2 linked regions of the Diceros bicornis minor genome follow. The protein of the gene in region 1 purifies or fractionates together with the protein of each later gene. This does not show direct contact. Links are inferred from orthologs where the notes say so. Each region holds a gene or a part of one and is shown on either strand. Other genes may lie near its edges.

Region 1 (6,940 bases):
TGTCAAACAGCGCAGTACGTTCCAGGAAAATGAGTAACTCAGTAATAAAGGAGCAGCGTGCAGTCACAGGAGTAATGGGCAGGGGCCTGATCACAAAAAGCCTAGAATGCTATGGTAACAACTCTGAGTTTCACTCTGTAGGTAAAAGGGAGCAAGAGAAAAATTTTGAGCAAGGGTGTGTGAACATCTGTGTTTTAGAAAAATTACCATGAAACTGGATCAACAGTAGAGAAATTGGAGTCAAAGTGTCACCTAGGAAATTACTACAATAAATTAGGTATGAAATAATGAAAATATGAGGGCCTTAACCAGGGCACTGGCAGTGGGGGCTGTTGCCAGAGATATTAATAAGACTTGGTATTAAGAGTGGGGTGATAGGTAATAGTCAAACATAGCTCCAAGATTTCTGAAAACAAATACTACAGGAAGAATAGATTTGAAGGGGAGGGATAAAAAGGTGGAGCTGTCTATTAAGCAGCAGGATTAAGGATCTGAAATGTTAATAACGATGGACCAGAAATATAGATCTAGGAGGCATCAATGTAAAAGTAATGGAACTATGCAGAACAGAGAACCAAGCACAAAAACCTAGGGACAAGCGGAGAAAAAGAAGTTTATTAAGGTGGCTGAGAACGAGGAGTCAGGCAGACAGATGGAGAATCCAGAAAAACCAAGAGACAAGATTTCCAAACAGGAGGACATGGCTGGTTTCAAGTACAGCAAAAGTCAAACCAGATAAGGAGCAGAAATGTCCCCTAATTTGGCAATTAGGTCACTGCACTGAATGGAAGTCAGAGAGAATGGAAATAAAAGTTAAGGAAACAGAAAACAGCAAGTATAGATTACTCTTTGGAAAAACTTAACTAAGAAATCGAGACAGGATGGTAATTGGTAAAGTAAACACAGTAAAGAGTTTTGTGTTTGTTTTTGTAAATGAACGTTTGAAGGAAAGGAGAGCTCTGGGACTATTATTGTTGAAGGATAAAAAGCAGCAGCATGAGTGATGATAGAGCTCCTCTATGAAGCTCATCCCTCCCTTTCTCAGCAAAGAACACCCACCTGGATGGGGCATCCCACCGGGTGGGAATGGGTGAGGATGAGAGTGTCCATGTCCAGGATGTCCAGCCCCTGGGGTTCCTGCTGATGGGGGGCCATGTCCCCCAGCCCCAGGAGGCATAGGTGGTGGGGGCATGGCTGGGGGTATCCCAGGTGGAAGGGCTCCAGGAGGTGGCACTGGAGGTGGGAAGGAGCCAGGAGGAGGCATGCCTATAGAAGAAATGGAAGAAGAGTTAATGCTAGTGAGGAGAGACTATCTTTAGAGAGCCAGTTCCAATCACGCCTCTCCAGGCAGGATGAGCTCCTTTCCCCTCCTCCCAGCCCTCTAAAGCCAGAAGCAATGTTAGGCAACTCATACAACTTCAACTTTCTGGAGAAACTCAACAGTTTTCTTCCCCACCACAACCATCATCCCTCAAGCCTTCTCACGACCCACTGACTCAATGTCTGTCTTTATCAAGTTCTTTTTCCTTCCTCCTGCCCTCCCTTCCCCAACCCAAGACAAACATATTTTAAATCAAAAGCTTTACCTGGTGGAGGAAGCCCAGATCCCAATGATGATACCACAGGATTAGGGGCAGAAGGTGGAGGGGGTGCATCTGCAAACAGCTGATGGGGGCGGTCAGCCTGGGAGAGTGGGTTCTGGGCTGCCAGAAGTCGTTCAGCTGCTGAGCCATGGCGTTCACCCTTGGAGTCCTTCTTGAAGGCATAGGACACGGTAATAGGGCGATTACAGAGATACTGCCCATTCATGGCCTCAATTGCTGCATCCGAAGCATCAAACGAAGCAAAATTAATAAAGGCATAACCTTTGGAGTTGCCTGTGTCAGGGTCCCGCATAATCTTGGGGGTTTGTAAGATGACCCCAAAGGCACTGAAAGTATCATAAAGTAGCTTCTCATCAATCTCTGGGTCCAGGTTCCCAATGAAAATGTTGGCCCCCACATCCAGGTTTTTGTTGTGAGCTGATGCCTTGTTCACCCGTATTGGCTTCCCATAGAGTTTGATCATGTTCATAATCTTAATGGCATAGTCAGCATCTTCCTCACTCAAGAATTCCACAAAGCCATAGCCTGGGGAAGTGGAAGAGAGGAGGTTAACAACTTACGTGAAGTGATTTAAAATGGTGTAAAAGTCATTCACCTCCGAAAGCACAAAGAACAAGAAATAATAATCTCACTTTGATTGAGAATGGTTCCAGAAACAAACTGTGAGCTAGGCTTAAGAGAAAGAAATCTTTAGGTTGCTCATTACAAAACAGTTGTGAATACTGCTGGGGTCCTCCAGGAGCAGTTTGTCCCCTCAACAGCCAAATGCACTCTTGCCATGTACTCACCTTGGTGCTGACCAGTGACTCTATCCTTTGGCATGTGGGTGTTGACTACTGGCCCTGCCTGGAGAAATAGCTCCCACAGCAGTGGTTCGCTAACTTTCTCGTCCAGGCCCCCCACGTACACCGTGGCATCTGGAGGGCGGGAGCAGGAAGTTAGAGCAGAAATGAGAGTATGACAGCAAAGGAGGTGACAGAAATATGAAGATGGAATCCAGGCGGGGGAATTGAGAGTGAAGATAAGGCAGAGGAGCAAAAAGAAAAAAAAAAAAAGACGTTAGATTAAGCCCTTACACCTTTCTCTTTCCAGGAACTGGAGAATCTTCTGAAGTCTAAGAGTTCTGCCGCAAATTCTTTTTGAATTTTTTTTTTTTTGGAGCGGGAAGGCAGCAGGGGATTGGATATAGAGAGCATCACACCTACAGGCCTCAGCCCGCACCCAGCCACCCCGCCCCCAGCAGGCACCGGGGCCGCTCTCGCGCCCTCCGCGGAGGTTCAGTCTCCCGCCCCGGTAGAAACACTGCTGGCCTTAGTCGAGACCTCCCAGCCGCCCTGAGTCCATTCCGGGCTTGTCCCCTCCAGTCACCCTGGTTCCGCTCGGAGATGGGCCCGGCCGCCATGGCGAAAAACGTCCCGCCGCCTCCAAGCAGCGATTCCGCCCTCTGAACTCAGTCACTACTTCCACTTCCGGAGCGAAGGCGTACGGGAGGCTGTGGGTGGGGCCCCGGCGGGGGAGGGGCCGGAAGCGGCCGCGGCCATCTTGGGAGCCGCTGAGACGGCGCTCAGTTCTCCAGTCGCTGGTTTTGTGTTAAGGTGCCGCTGCGAGCGGGGAGGGCGGGGAAGGCGGAAGGGAAATGCTCAGACCGTCTTAAGAAGTGCTAGACGTTAAAGGGTTATACTGCTCCCAAAAGTGTAAATTCGAAACCTAAAAGAACAAAACTTTACTTTTCATATATTTTGTAGCCAAATGTTCCTTCTTTTGTTCCCCAGAGAAGGGTGTGCTGAGGAACCCCCCCACCCCAAGGACTCGGCTGCTTCGAGCGCGGAGGCAGCTCTCCACCCCGGGCAGCCGCCTTTGGGCAGATGCGGCTTCACCGCCGGGCTGGGCTTCAGGTATTTCGTTTTCCCTCAGGGGAGGGGATTGCGGAATGTCTGAGCTGGAGCGACGTATGAGTTCACCGAATCGTTATTGCACAGGGGGGTGAGGGGAACCTGGGGCTCAGAGATGGAGTGCGACCGAAGCTGAGGGCGGTTGACACTGACGCCCGGGGTCCTCAGTCTTAACGTCCAGAACATACCGCTCGCCGCAGCGACAACACCTTGGTATGCTTTTGCCCCATGTTTCCCCTAAATGAGAGGCACAGAAAAGAGAACACTTTTCCCAAATTGCATATGAATTCTGCAGAGCCTCACCTGACACATACCCTTATTTCCTTAGCAATATGTGGTGGGTGCCGCCTTCTCTTGGGTCACAGCCACCCTCCATCCACCACTTACCTGGGATCTTTTATTCAAACACAAGAAACTATGCCAGCAGTGTGTATAAATACTGAGCTTTAATGAACTCATTAATAGAAATGTCACTACAAAAATACACAATTGGAAGAGACAGGGTGTCTCCCATATCCACTCCACATACCCATAGAAAACTGTAAGGGAAGAAATAGAAATTAGAGTTAAAGAAGCAGCAAGAGGAGGTGAGACTGAGGTCTGTAGACCTTCTTGTTGGGACTGTTGAATAGCATCTCTTATCTCACAATTTAACAGCTGGATATCCAAAATGGATGCAATTTCCCTGAAAAAAAGAGGTGATCATACTTTGGATTGTTTTTGTTTCTTAATTCTTCAAATTATAAGAAACAAATGAGACGGGACAAGAGTTAGAGAAGGTTAGCACCCCGCCATCTGCAATGGAAACAAGTCAGCCAGCTTGTTTAAGGGCTGGAGTGTAAAAGCTGAGGCAGCAAGACCAGATAAGAAAAACTGAAGGATTAGAGGAACCCTTCCCCATCGTAGACTGCCCTCTGCCCTGCCCATGAGAAAGCCAGCAATTTCAACGGGATTGGGAGAGAATGGTATTTGGATCTCTTTTCTTGGAGTGATCCTCAGGAGATATTCTTGGTGTCCATTTCCTTAATAGCTCTTGAAGATGGGATAGCTCATCCTGGAGGCCAGAGATTGTGGGAGCCGAGAGGCCCATCTGGGGTGGGGTGAAGAGAGGCAGAGAGGAATATTATTGCAGCTCTAGCTCTCTGCTTCTAAGATCTGTCCACTGCTTCTGGCGTCTTTAATTCTCTTTCCCCCTCCACTTATGCCCTAGGTTCCACTTGATCTAAGTCACAAGCAGGTTCCCCCGTGCCCCACACTCCCAAATGTATCCACCTGGATACCTACACTAATAGAACTTGACTTCCCAGTCCCTCCAGCCTCTTGCCTTTCCAGCTCCTAGAAATAGCTGGTTTCTCTTGGATCATCTAGTTCAGCAGTCAAGCCCCTTCTCCCACTCCCAATCCCTGTCTTCCCTACTCACCTGGACCTCAGGCCTTCCCCTCAGGTAGCAGCGTCTCCAGAGTCTGATCTGGGGTCCCAGATATCCAGGCAGCAGCAGCCCTGGGGGTAAAGGGCAAGCTCCCCAATGTGAGGGGAGCCCCCACTCCTGATCAGCTAGACTTTCAGAGGAGATAGCAGGTCGAGGGAGCCAACGAGAAGAGACTGCCAGCAGGGAGGGACTGTCCCGCCAAGGGCAGAGCTGATTCAGGGGGGTCAGGGCCCCTCTAGAGAAGAGCCACACAGAACTGGGGGGTCCAGGAACCATGAAGCTTGGCTAAAGGAGAAAGAGAAATCAACTAGCAACCTGGAAACCATATGACCCCAGTTTCCCCAAACCGGGTCAAGAAGGAATGCCCAGCAACCACCCACTCACACTGCACTATTGATGGAACTACAAGCCTACCCCTGAGAACTCTGTTTACTCTCCTCATTAGGTTTCAGACTAGACCTCAGGACTGATTAAAGTTGACTTTAGGGAAACTTGTAAAATGTGTGCATGAGAAAGGAGATGAGGAGGACAAAAAGGATGCCCTCTGTGCAATTCCAGGATTTCTGTCTTCCTGGGGACAGCGACTATAAATAACAGCTACAGAAGAGGAGTGGGATAGCTTTCCCTGGGGAACTCAGACACTGTGCCTTTCCACTTCTCGCCATCTAATAGGATGAGTCTGTGAGACAGTCAAGGGAATTTAGGAAATTTAGACACCTCACCTGCTGTCTAGGGAGCCAGGAATCTGGGCAGTGTTCCGGGTCATAGCCAGGATTATGGAATTGTAGTATCTGTTCATTGCTGTAGCGTAAATCCCAGTCCCAGACAGACAGCTGTGGGTTAACAGAGTTCCCAGCTGGGAGCTGGGAGTACCCTGGGGTATAGACTTGTGGATAGGAGTTGAACTGGACAGAAGAAACAAGAAAAAGGATGGTTAAACAAACATAAAAAAATATAATCCTTCTCTCACGTCTATAGAGAAATCATGAAACTCTTATCTCTTACTCCAAGAATCAGATGGAGTGAAAGTCGGGTCCTGAGAGTGAGTGCCAACCTCCCCCTTTCCCACCGACAGACCTCACTTTTCATAAATCAAGACTAAAATTCAGAGAGTACTTCTCAATGGGGGAAAAAAAGACAAGTCAAAAATGGAAGTCACTGACCTGTCCACTCTGCTTTCCACGCTCCCAGGGAGTGTCTCTCAAGAATGTAAGGGTGTCAGGAACCCTGACACTGTCTTGAAGAGCAAGAAGGAAAAACTCAGAGAATTCAAACTCAGCTGGAAACTGCTGGAGGAGCTGCCAGACGCAATCAAGGAAGAGGAAAAACACTGGGGCCTGAGGAGGGAAATTACGAGGTTGGAAGAGATTGTGGGGACCTAGAAGGGGAGGATGACAAAATGACGGGATGAGAGACACAGGGAACAGGAGCCAGTAGGAAGGTCAGGAATGGAATCTGAATTGAGTGTAAAGGGTTGTGGTCCCTCACTCATCTGGGTCTCTCTTCAAGCTCAGCCTAACTTCAGGACCCTTCTGACCTGATTCACCTCCAATGGATTATACTATATAATTTTCTCATCCCCTTACTTCTTTAGTAATACCCCCCCCCCCAAAACACTCCCAAAACATTCTCACCTCTTCACTGGCCCCAGTTCCCCCAAGTCGGGTCAGGAAGGGATGTCCAGCTGCCACCCACTCTCGCTGCACTAGTGATTGGAAGCCAAGCAGTGTTCGGGCTTCAGGGGCTGAAAGCAGCTGGACGAGTGAAGAGAGGAGGCCATTGAAATCACGATCACCGCGCTCTGGGTGATAAAGAGGGAGAAGGGACAAAGAAGGAGGGACCAAGAAACTAGGGCAGAAGAGAATGAGAAAAGGAAGCACGGCAAGAAGAAGTAAGAGGCACAGAGGGGAAAAGTTTTGGGTAGTTAGGATTGAGAGGGCACATAGAAGTGAAGACAAAACAAAGACCTTGAATGATTCACTTCATAGACTCCACTTGGATAGAAATACCCAGCT
Region 2 (7,674 bases), on another chromosome or scaffold:
GCTGGATCATTGGAAACTATTGCTCAGTAAATGTGAGCTAGATGCCATCTCAGGTATCCTCAGAACATTCCTGTATAACGTGAAGTAGGGGAAGTGACGTCTAGAATAATTCTCAGGGACACAATGAAGCACGAAGATCCAAAGATATCAGGTCACACACCACATGCAGACGAGTCAGACAGCAATTAACATTTATTAAGCATTCTCTGGTTCAAAGCTTACTCCAGATAAGAACTCTAGCTACAAATGAAGCACGAAGATCCAAAGATATCAGGTCACACACCACATGCAGACGAGTCAGACAGCAATTAACATTTATTAAGCATTCTCTGGTTCAAAGCTTACTCCAGATAAGAACTCTAGCTACAAACCTGCAAAAGTCCAAGAGAACGTTGTCCTTAACGGACTCTTTAGTTAAAGAACTGCTCGTACTTTCTCTTCACTGCTGGGGTCTTACCAGGGTTTCACTGCTTACAGACTATAAATAATTACCACACACCTACTACGTACCAGACCCTCTGTATGGGGAACTCCTATAGATGACTTATAGGGCAGCACCAAAAATGTGGACCATGCCGACAAAACATGCCAGACCCTGTACCAAGAAATGCAGAAAAGGAGAGACAAATACACAAACTGAGGTCCTTTCTCTGAAGGAGTGTAACCTAGCTGGTGGATCAGATCAAGCAGGATATGATCTGACAGTCAAAGAGAAATGCAAATCAGAGTGTAGGATGGGAGAATGTTCAAATCACCAACTGAAATTATGTTTTTGGTATCTATGACCCTTCGTATCTCCCTAAATAATAGAAGACTTAATGATGTAAGAAACAGTCTTATCTGGCCAAATGCATAAACTGCTGAGGTGGCTGGGTTGTTTCTCCTCAACATGGGCACAGCCGACAAAAAGGACTTACAAAAGGACAATATGCTGTAATGTGGACGCCACTAGCTTTAGTCAAGATAGCCTGTGCTTGCCACTTATCAGTGGGCTGCGGGACTGTAAAATGGGGATGATGATAATCTCTATTTATCAAAGTTCTTGTGAAGAATAAACTATATAAACATCTATAAACTACCTACTCTTTGCTCATGGAACTATTAACAATTATATATCTTTTGCCTTATCCTAGATTAGGTAAACGCATATCTTCTATTAGCCAACTGGTACTATATCACACTTTCTTTTATTGTCATAAGAAGAAAATAAGCTAATCCAGGTTTTTTCCCCCCCTAAGAAGCCTGCTGCTTCTAATCTAAAGAAAAATGGTAAAACTTGCCTTTGGATAAATCTACAAGCCCTCTATGCTGGCATTTGGTTCAAGGAGTTGAATAACTAGCCACTGCCACCACACAATGTCACAGAGCAAAAATGTCATGAGATAGAATCACAATCAATTCTGCAATATCAAACCAAAGGCATTCTTTAGTGGCTTAAAGCTGAAATCAACCTGAATTGTCCCACATTCAAATGTTACCACATCCACCCAAACAGTCCTTAATGACAGTAAAGAGAATTACTGAGTGGCTAGTACACACCATGCACTGTGCTAGGACTTAGAAAATGCAGGATGTTGTTTCTGAATAAAAATAATCAGAGAGACATCAAAAGAATAGAGAGAGGGCTCTCCAAATTGCTGGTGTTGACCAAGATTTGCTTCTCTTGCATTTTTGCCCTTGATGCAAAATAACAGCCTTTTATTGGACTACACCCAGTTTAGCTTACAGAACTTGAAAAAATTATAACCTAGGTAACTAGCTGACCATAGTAATCTCCACAGATCATAGGAGTTTGCTGTGGATGGCAACGTGTTACTAAATAAAAGGAAGAAAGATCAGCTGGAAAGCTCAGTATACACTCACATCCTTCTCCTGGATGGTGCACTCCTTACAGTAATAGGCGTCAGAGACTCCAGGGCCTCCACAGATCACGCAACGCCCCTGGTAAGAGCCGTAGTTACACTCGTCACATATGCGCACCAGGGTGCAGGGACGCACATAGGAGTCACAGATCACACACTTGCCATCACCTGTGAGGAAAAAAGAATGGAATTATGCCTACTTGCAAGTACCTCCTCAAGTCCTTTGCCCTCCTCCTGCGATGGGGAAATACACCAGTCTCCTTCTAACAGTGACTGTAGGGCCCTCTACTTTGGCATCACAGAACCTGGCTTACCTGTGTCCATCTCAACAATCCCCACAACACACAGGAAAAGTTAATCAACTAATGTGTAAAGAGCTTAGAACAGCACCTGCTAGATGATAAGTCTATAATTACTGGCAAAGATCTGTGTTGGGGATGGGGTCATGCTACTTCCTGTCCAAAGCTAGAGATTTTCTTGAAACCTAAACATAGCACCTAAAACATGCAAGTTGGAGTGGGGAAGTGGAGGGGCCTTTGTTGCAGTCTGGCATTCAGTGTCCACATGCTTCCAGGCGCATCTACTCAAACCCCTCTTTGTGGCACCACTGGAAATGCCCTCTTGCTGGCTCCACGGACACTGCGAGTGGCAGGGTGGGGTGTTTGGGAGGGCGTGTTCCACTCACATTTTTCACACAGTCTTCCGATGGCTGCAAGATCAAAGACAGTAAAGAGTGTAATTAGAATTAAGGTTTTGAGGAAGAAGAGAAAAACATCCTCGAGCTTGGGGTGGGGACAGGAGCAGGGACAGCAGTGAGCCCTGAAGGAACTTATCCATCTTATCTTCATAAACTTCGATCCGAACCAAACCCACACCCTCTTGAAGCCCCTCCCAGGCCCTGGGCAGTCTGAAAGTTTCTCCGGGCCCCACCCTGGCTACCCGCCTCCTCCCAGCACGCGCGCCCCCGCCCCCTTTTCATCCGAGGCCACAAACTCGCGCACTCCTTCACTACCGACCGTGAGGCGGGAAACGTGGCGCCTCCGAAGCAAGACCCTAAAGAAGACGGGAACCCTCGACTCCCCAGCTCCTAATACCACCCCACCCAGACAGCCGGGGCAAGGAAGCCGGCTCACCAACACCGGCCTGCTTGCGGCAAAAGATCAAGTCCGGATGATGTTTAGCCATAGCTCCCACTCAAGCGCCGGCCACCAGAAGCTTCGGGAACTTCCGTTCGACCTTTAACCTCCATTGTTCCTGCCTCCTGGTCGCCGTGATTGGTCCTCTAGGCTTCCATCAGCGATTACAATCTTTGCACCAAGCCCCGCTTGCTCTCGCGGGATCAAAACCTTTAAGTTCCAAAGACGAATTTCCGTTGTTAGCTGGGGAGCCAGGTCCTGGCAGGTGCGTGAAAGTCATTAAGACAAAATACCTTTCTTAGGTTTGGATGGAAGAGACAAAGTGCAAAGATGAAATTTGCACTTCGATGAGATAACACTGTACCCTGTATTTACTTTCATACAGCTCTTTTTCCTCTCCCGTGTTCGGGACCTCGGCCCACTGCGCTCTTAGGGCACTGGGGGCCTCTTTGGAGGCCCCGCCTTCACCGTGACGCATTTCTCTTCAGGCCACGCCCCCCCTGACCGAAGGCTTTAAATACGCCGTCTGTCGCGTCACTTTCACGCGACCTCATCTTTGTCAGTGCACAAAATGGCGCCTTACAGCCTACTGGTGACCCGGCTGCAGGTGAGCGAGCTCAGGGCCCTCGGGTTTCACGGGGGCGGGGTGCCTCCTACTTTACCTGCGGCTGTGGGCGAGGCAGGGCGAGGCGGACCCAACCTCTGGCCGACTTTCCGTGTACCTGTTCCGACCGCGGGCCCAGTGCCGGTGCCCGCTACTCCGGCGCCCGAGGTCAAGGCGTCCCCGGCTCAGTCAGCTCTCCCAGCCCAGACCCCGCTGACGGGATCCGTGGGTCCAAGCAGCGGCGGCCAGGTGAAGAGTGGAGGCACCTCATTCTCCTTTTTGAGGACCGCACTCTTCTCTCTCGTAGGGTGCCGTTCTGTTTCTCAAGGTGAGGACAAGGTGACTGGGGGGCGCGGTCGTTGTTGAGCCCGCTGAGCCCAGAACCCGAAGGCCTCTCTTCTCATCTCTCAGCAGCGGAGACTTGGCTCTCAGCTAGCCAGGAGCATCTACGGTTGGCAGGCCTGGAGTCGGGAGAAAAAACTAGTACCCTATTACATTTTATGAGGATCCTGCGGATCATAACAGTATAGCCAAGAATACAAGGAAATCTGGGCCCCGACGTAGTAAATAGTAATAACAGTAGTCTCTCACCTTTGCACAAGATTGCAAGACAGGTTTTATTCCTCATCATAACATTTGATTCGTTTACTCATCTGGTGAGGTGATTCTTCTTATTTGTTAGGTGATGAAATTGCTAGAAAGTAGATGACAGTTCTTGCTTTGTGAGTGTCACAGAAGTGCTGTGACCTGAGCGTCTGTCCTACTTACCCCTCTGTTCTTCTTCATGTCAACCTATCCTCACAGAACTTTCTGAACCAAAGTGTGATCCTTGAGCTGACATTTGTATTTGTTAGAGCACCAGAGTCGAGTATTTTGAGTTCACAATTAGTTGCTTTTCAATTACTAGATGGGAGGGTAAAGAGACTCAACGGTTTGATCTTGACTCTCCTGTTTGACCTTGATTCTCCTGTTATGAATCATCTAGAAAATTGACATCTGACTTCCAGATGGTTTTTTTCACTCCTAACTTGACAGCTCTAGGAAGGTATTATACTCAAAGGTTCAATATCAAGCGTGTAGTTTGTTAATAAAAATAAAGAAAGCAAGCACTTATAGACATTCTCTGACAACCTTTTCCATTTAACTTTGTGAATCTACTTTGAATCAAGTCGTGCAGCTTTGACTATAGAATTAAAAAGTTGTGTGCTGGGCGGGCCCCGTGGCTTAGCAGGTAAGTGCTCTCGCTCCGCTACTGGTGACCGGGGTTCAGATCCCGGGCGCGCACCGACCCACCGCTCCTCCGGCCATGCTGAGGCCCTGTCCCACATACAGCAACTAGAAGGCTGTGCAACTATGACATACAACTATCTACTGGGGCTTTGGGGAAAAAAGGAGGAGGATTGGCAATAGATGTTAGCTCAGAGCCGGTCTTCCTCAGCAAAAAGAGGAGGATATTAGCACGGATGTTAGCTCAGGGCTAATCTTCCTCACACACGCACACAAAAAAAAGTTGTGTGCTGTACTCTGAGGAAGCATTGTGTTACTAGAAGTTTTTTTTTTTTATCACATTGCTTAAATTTAAACCATACGGTTTAAAGTGAAATCATCATTTATCTTAAAATACTTTTTTTTTAAAGTTTTTATTTATTTTATTTTTTTTCCCCCAAAGCCCCAGTAGATAGTTGTATGTCATAGTTGCACAGCCTTCTAGTTGCTGTATGTGGGACGAGGCCTCATCGTGGCCGGAGAAGCGGTGCTTTGGTGCGCGCCCGGGATCCGAACCTGGGCTGCCAGCAGCGGAGCGCACGCACTTAACCGCTAAGCCACGGGGCCGGCCCTTAAAATACTTCTGATCTCTCAATTCTGGGCAAAGACAAGGGATTTCCCCTAATTATCTCTTCAGATCTTTTGATTCTGTAGGTTAACAATGTGGAAATAGTTGTCTTTTTCCTGATCCTTCTGTCCCAAGATGTTGTGAAATCAGGCAAGATTATTTGTTAACATAAATGATTACAGATTTATTAAGCTTGGAAGAGAGGACTTATATCACAGTATTTTTGAACTGAGAGAGGATCTTGGGAAGCATGAGTGTTAGACTGGTATAGAAAGAGATCTGAGCCATAGTTCATGTTCTACCGTGACCCTGTGACTTTGAGCAAGTTACTTCTGAATCCCAGTTTTCTCATCTGTCAGTTGGTGATGGATCTTCATTGACAAACATTTATTGAGTACGTGGTAATTGGCTTCTACTCAGATTGTTATGATGATTGATATAAAGTGATGAGAAAGAGGAATATGTTTTTTTTTTTTTATGATCATCATGTGGTCCAGCCTCTCACATATGGACATTCCAAGACCTTGAGAGCCTGGGTGACTTCCAGTAGCACAGTCAGAATTAGAATCCAAGTCTCCTTGTTTGTTCATTCAGCTAAGATGAATGAACAGCATTATACCACACTGCCTCCCAGTAGCCAGCTGTCTTAAGTAGTGGCCAGCTAATACTGTCCTCTGAGAACCTTGTAAATTTACCTCTTTTGTGTTTGGCTACTTTTGAGAAGTGATGGTACTACCTTAGTTGTCATATCTGCAGAATCCTGCCCATGCATTCAGTTTATTCCTACCTCATTCACCACATATTTACTGAGCACCCACTGCTTGCTCTGGATACAATGATAAGCAAAGCAGACAATTCTTGTTCTCATGGAGCTTCCACTATATTCTAATGTATTCTACTGTAGAGGGCCTTGGAGATCTTTCTCAGCCGAAATATTTTTCTTCTGCCCTTGGCTGAACCAAAGATGAAGGTAGATAATAGAATGATGGTAATTACTGCTATCACTAAGAGTAGCTCATATTTACCTTATTGTGTGCCAGTAATCTCACAACACCCTGTGAGATAAGGCAGAGCTGTTAGCCCTGTCTTATGGATGAAGAAACAGGGTTAGAGAGGAAACAGTGTAATGGTTAAGAGCATGGATTCTGACGTCACGCTATCTGAATTTGAATGTTGACTCTGATGCTTGCTTGCTGTGACTTTGGGCAAGTTACTTCACCTTTCTGTGCCTTTTTCCTCACCTGTAAGATATGGATAGTAATAGAACATCTGACTTATCTAATAATCATATTAGAGTTGTAAAGTATTTAGAACCCTGCCTGTACCTAGTAAGTGCTATATGATTGTTTATTAAACAAAATAAAATACACTTGCTTGGGGCCTTGTCCGTAGTTGTTAGTAGATGTGATTTGACTCTGCACCTTGCTGATTCCAGAGCCCGAGGTCCTAGCACCTGCTCTACCATGATTCCCTGTGGCATCAAGACTCAGCCTGTCCACCAGGGCACCAATATTGCTCCATAACCTTAGAACAGTGCTCTTTAAGTTGAAAGTTTGACAGTACCTGCTACCAGCTAGTGAGATTAGAAACAGTGAAGACAGTGGAGGTGCAAGTTTTGGAAAGCCACGTTTACCCTCTGGTTTTTGTTATTTATTTTTGTGCAAATGACTATAGATGGTAAATAAGAGGGATTGGGCACTTGCAAATACATTTTTTAGGTCTTTGGTTTTGCCTTGTACTGGAGTGCTGAGTTCTCAACTCATGACTTTGGAGAGTCATGTAACCTCTTGCATGTAACTCTGAGATGGCAGTTAACTACGAAGAAGTCTTGCCAAAACTACATATTTGGCAGAAGTTAGGTTCTCTGTAAAGTGCCATGTAAAAAAATCTTACTTTGAGTTATGAAACAGGTCATTCTGGTTGCATGTTCCCTGTGGTACCTTTTCAGGTGTCCTGTAGTTAACTGTGGATTTGAGTTGAGTGAATGAATGAATGATTGAATGGATGAGTAAACAAACTTCCAGTCTCAAACTTGGGCAGAGGGAGTAGAATCACCATCTTTTTTTTTTTCCTTTTTATTTTTTGTTTTTCTTCTTTTGAGAATCACCATCTTGAGGACTAGGAGAGAACACAATTCCCTTGAACCAACTGTTTCCAAAATGTTTATTGAAAGCTTATTATATATGCCTAGCACTGTTCTAGACACTGGGAGTGCAACAGTCTACAAGAATAGTGGAG

Evidence for each region. The genes of interacting proteins can lie anywhere in the genome.
Region 2: the proteins of SF3B4 (region 1) and PHF5A purify together in Homo sapiens (affinity purification with mass spectrometry; 6 studies listed by BioGRID and IntAct, with this or other methods). This does not show direct contact. The link is inferred for Diceros bicornis minor from reciprocal best matches to the Homo sapiens genes SF3B4 and PHF5A.

The regions. Positions count from the first base shown.
Region 1 is NC_080743.1:54,472,403-54,479,342, forward strand, and holds the start of SF3B4 (splicing factor 3B subunit 4), read right to left. Parts: upstream 3,072-6,940; 5' UTR 3,007-3,071; coding exon 2,973-3,006; intron 2,522-2,972; coding exon 2,393-2,521; intron 2,130-2,392; coding exon 1,587-2,129; intron 1,267-1,586; coding exon 1,060-1,266; intron 1-1,059. UniProt on the Homo sapiens protein: Component of the 17S U2 SnRNP complex of the spliceosome, a large ribonucleoprotein complex that removes introns from transcribed pre-mRNAs.
Region 2 is NC_080764.1:8,965,740-8,973,413, reverse strand, and holds the start of PHF5A (PHD finger-like domain-containing protein 5A), read right to left. Parts: upstream 3,089-7,674; 5' UTR 3,048-3,088; coding exon 2,996-3,047; intron 2,572-2,995; coding exon 2,548-2,571; intron 2,031-2,547; coding exon 1,864-2,030; intron 1-1,863. Other genes in the region: ACO2 (aconitate hydratase, mitochondrial), read left to right, coding at 3,570-3,605, 3,910-3,930.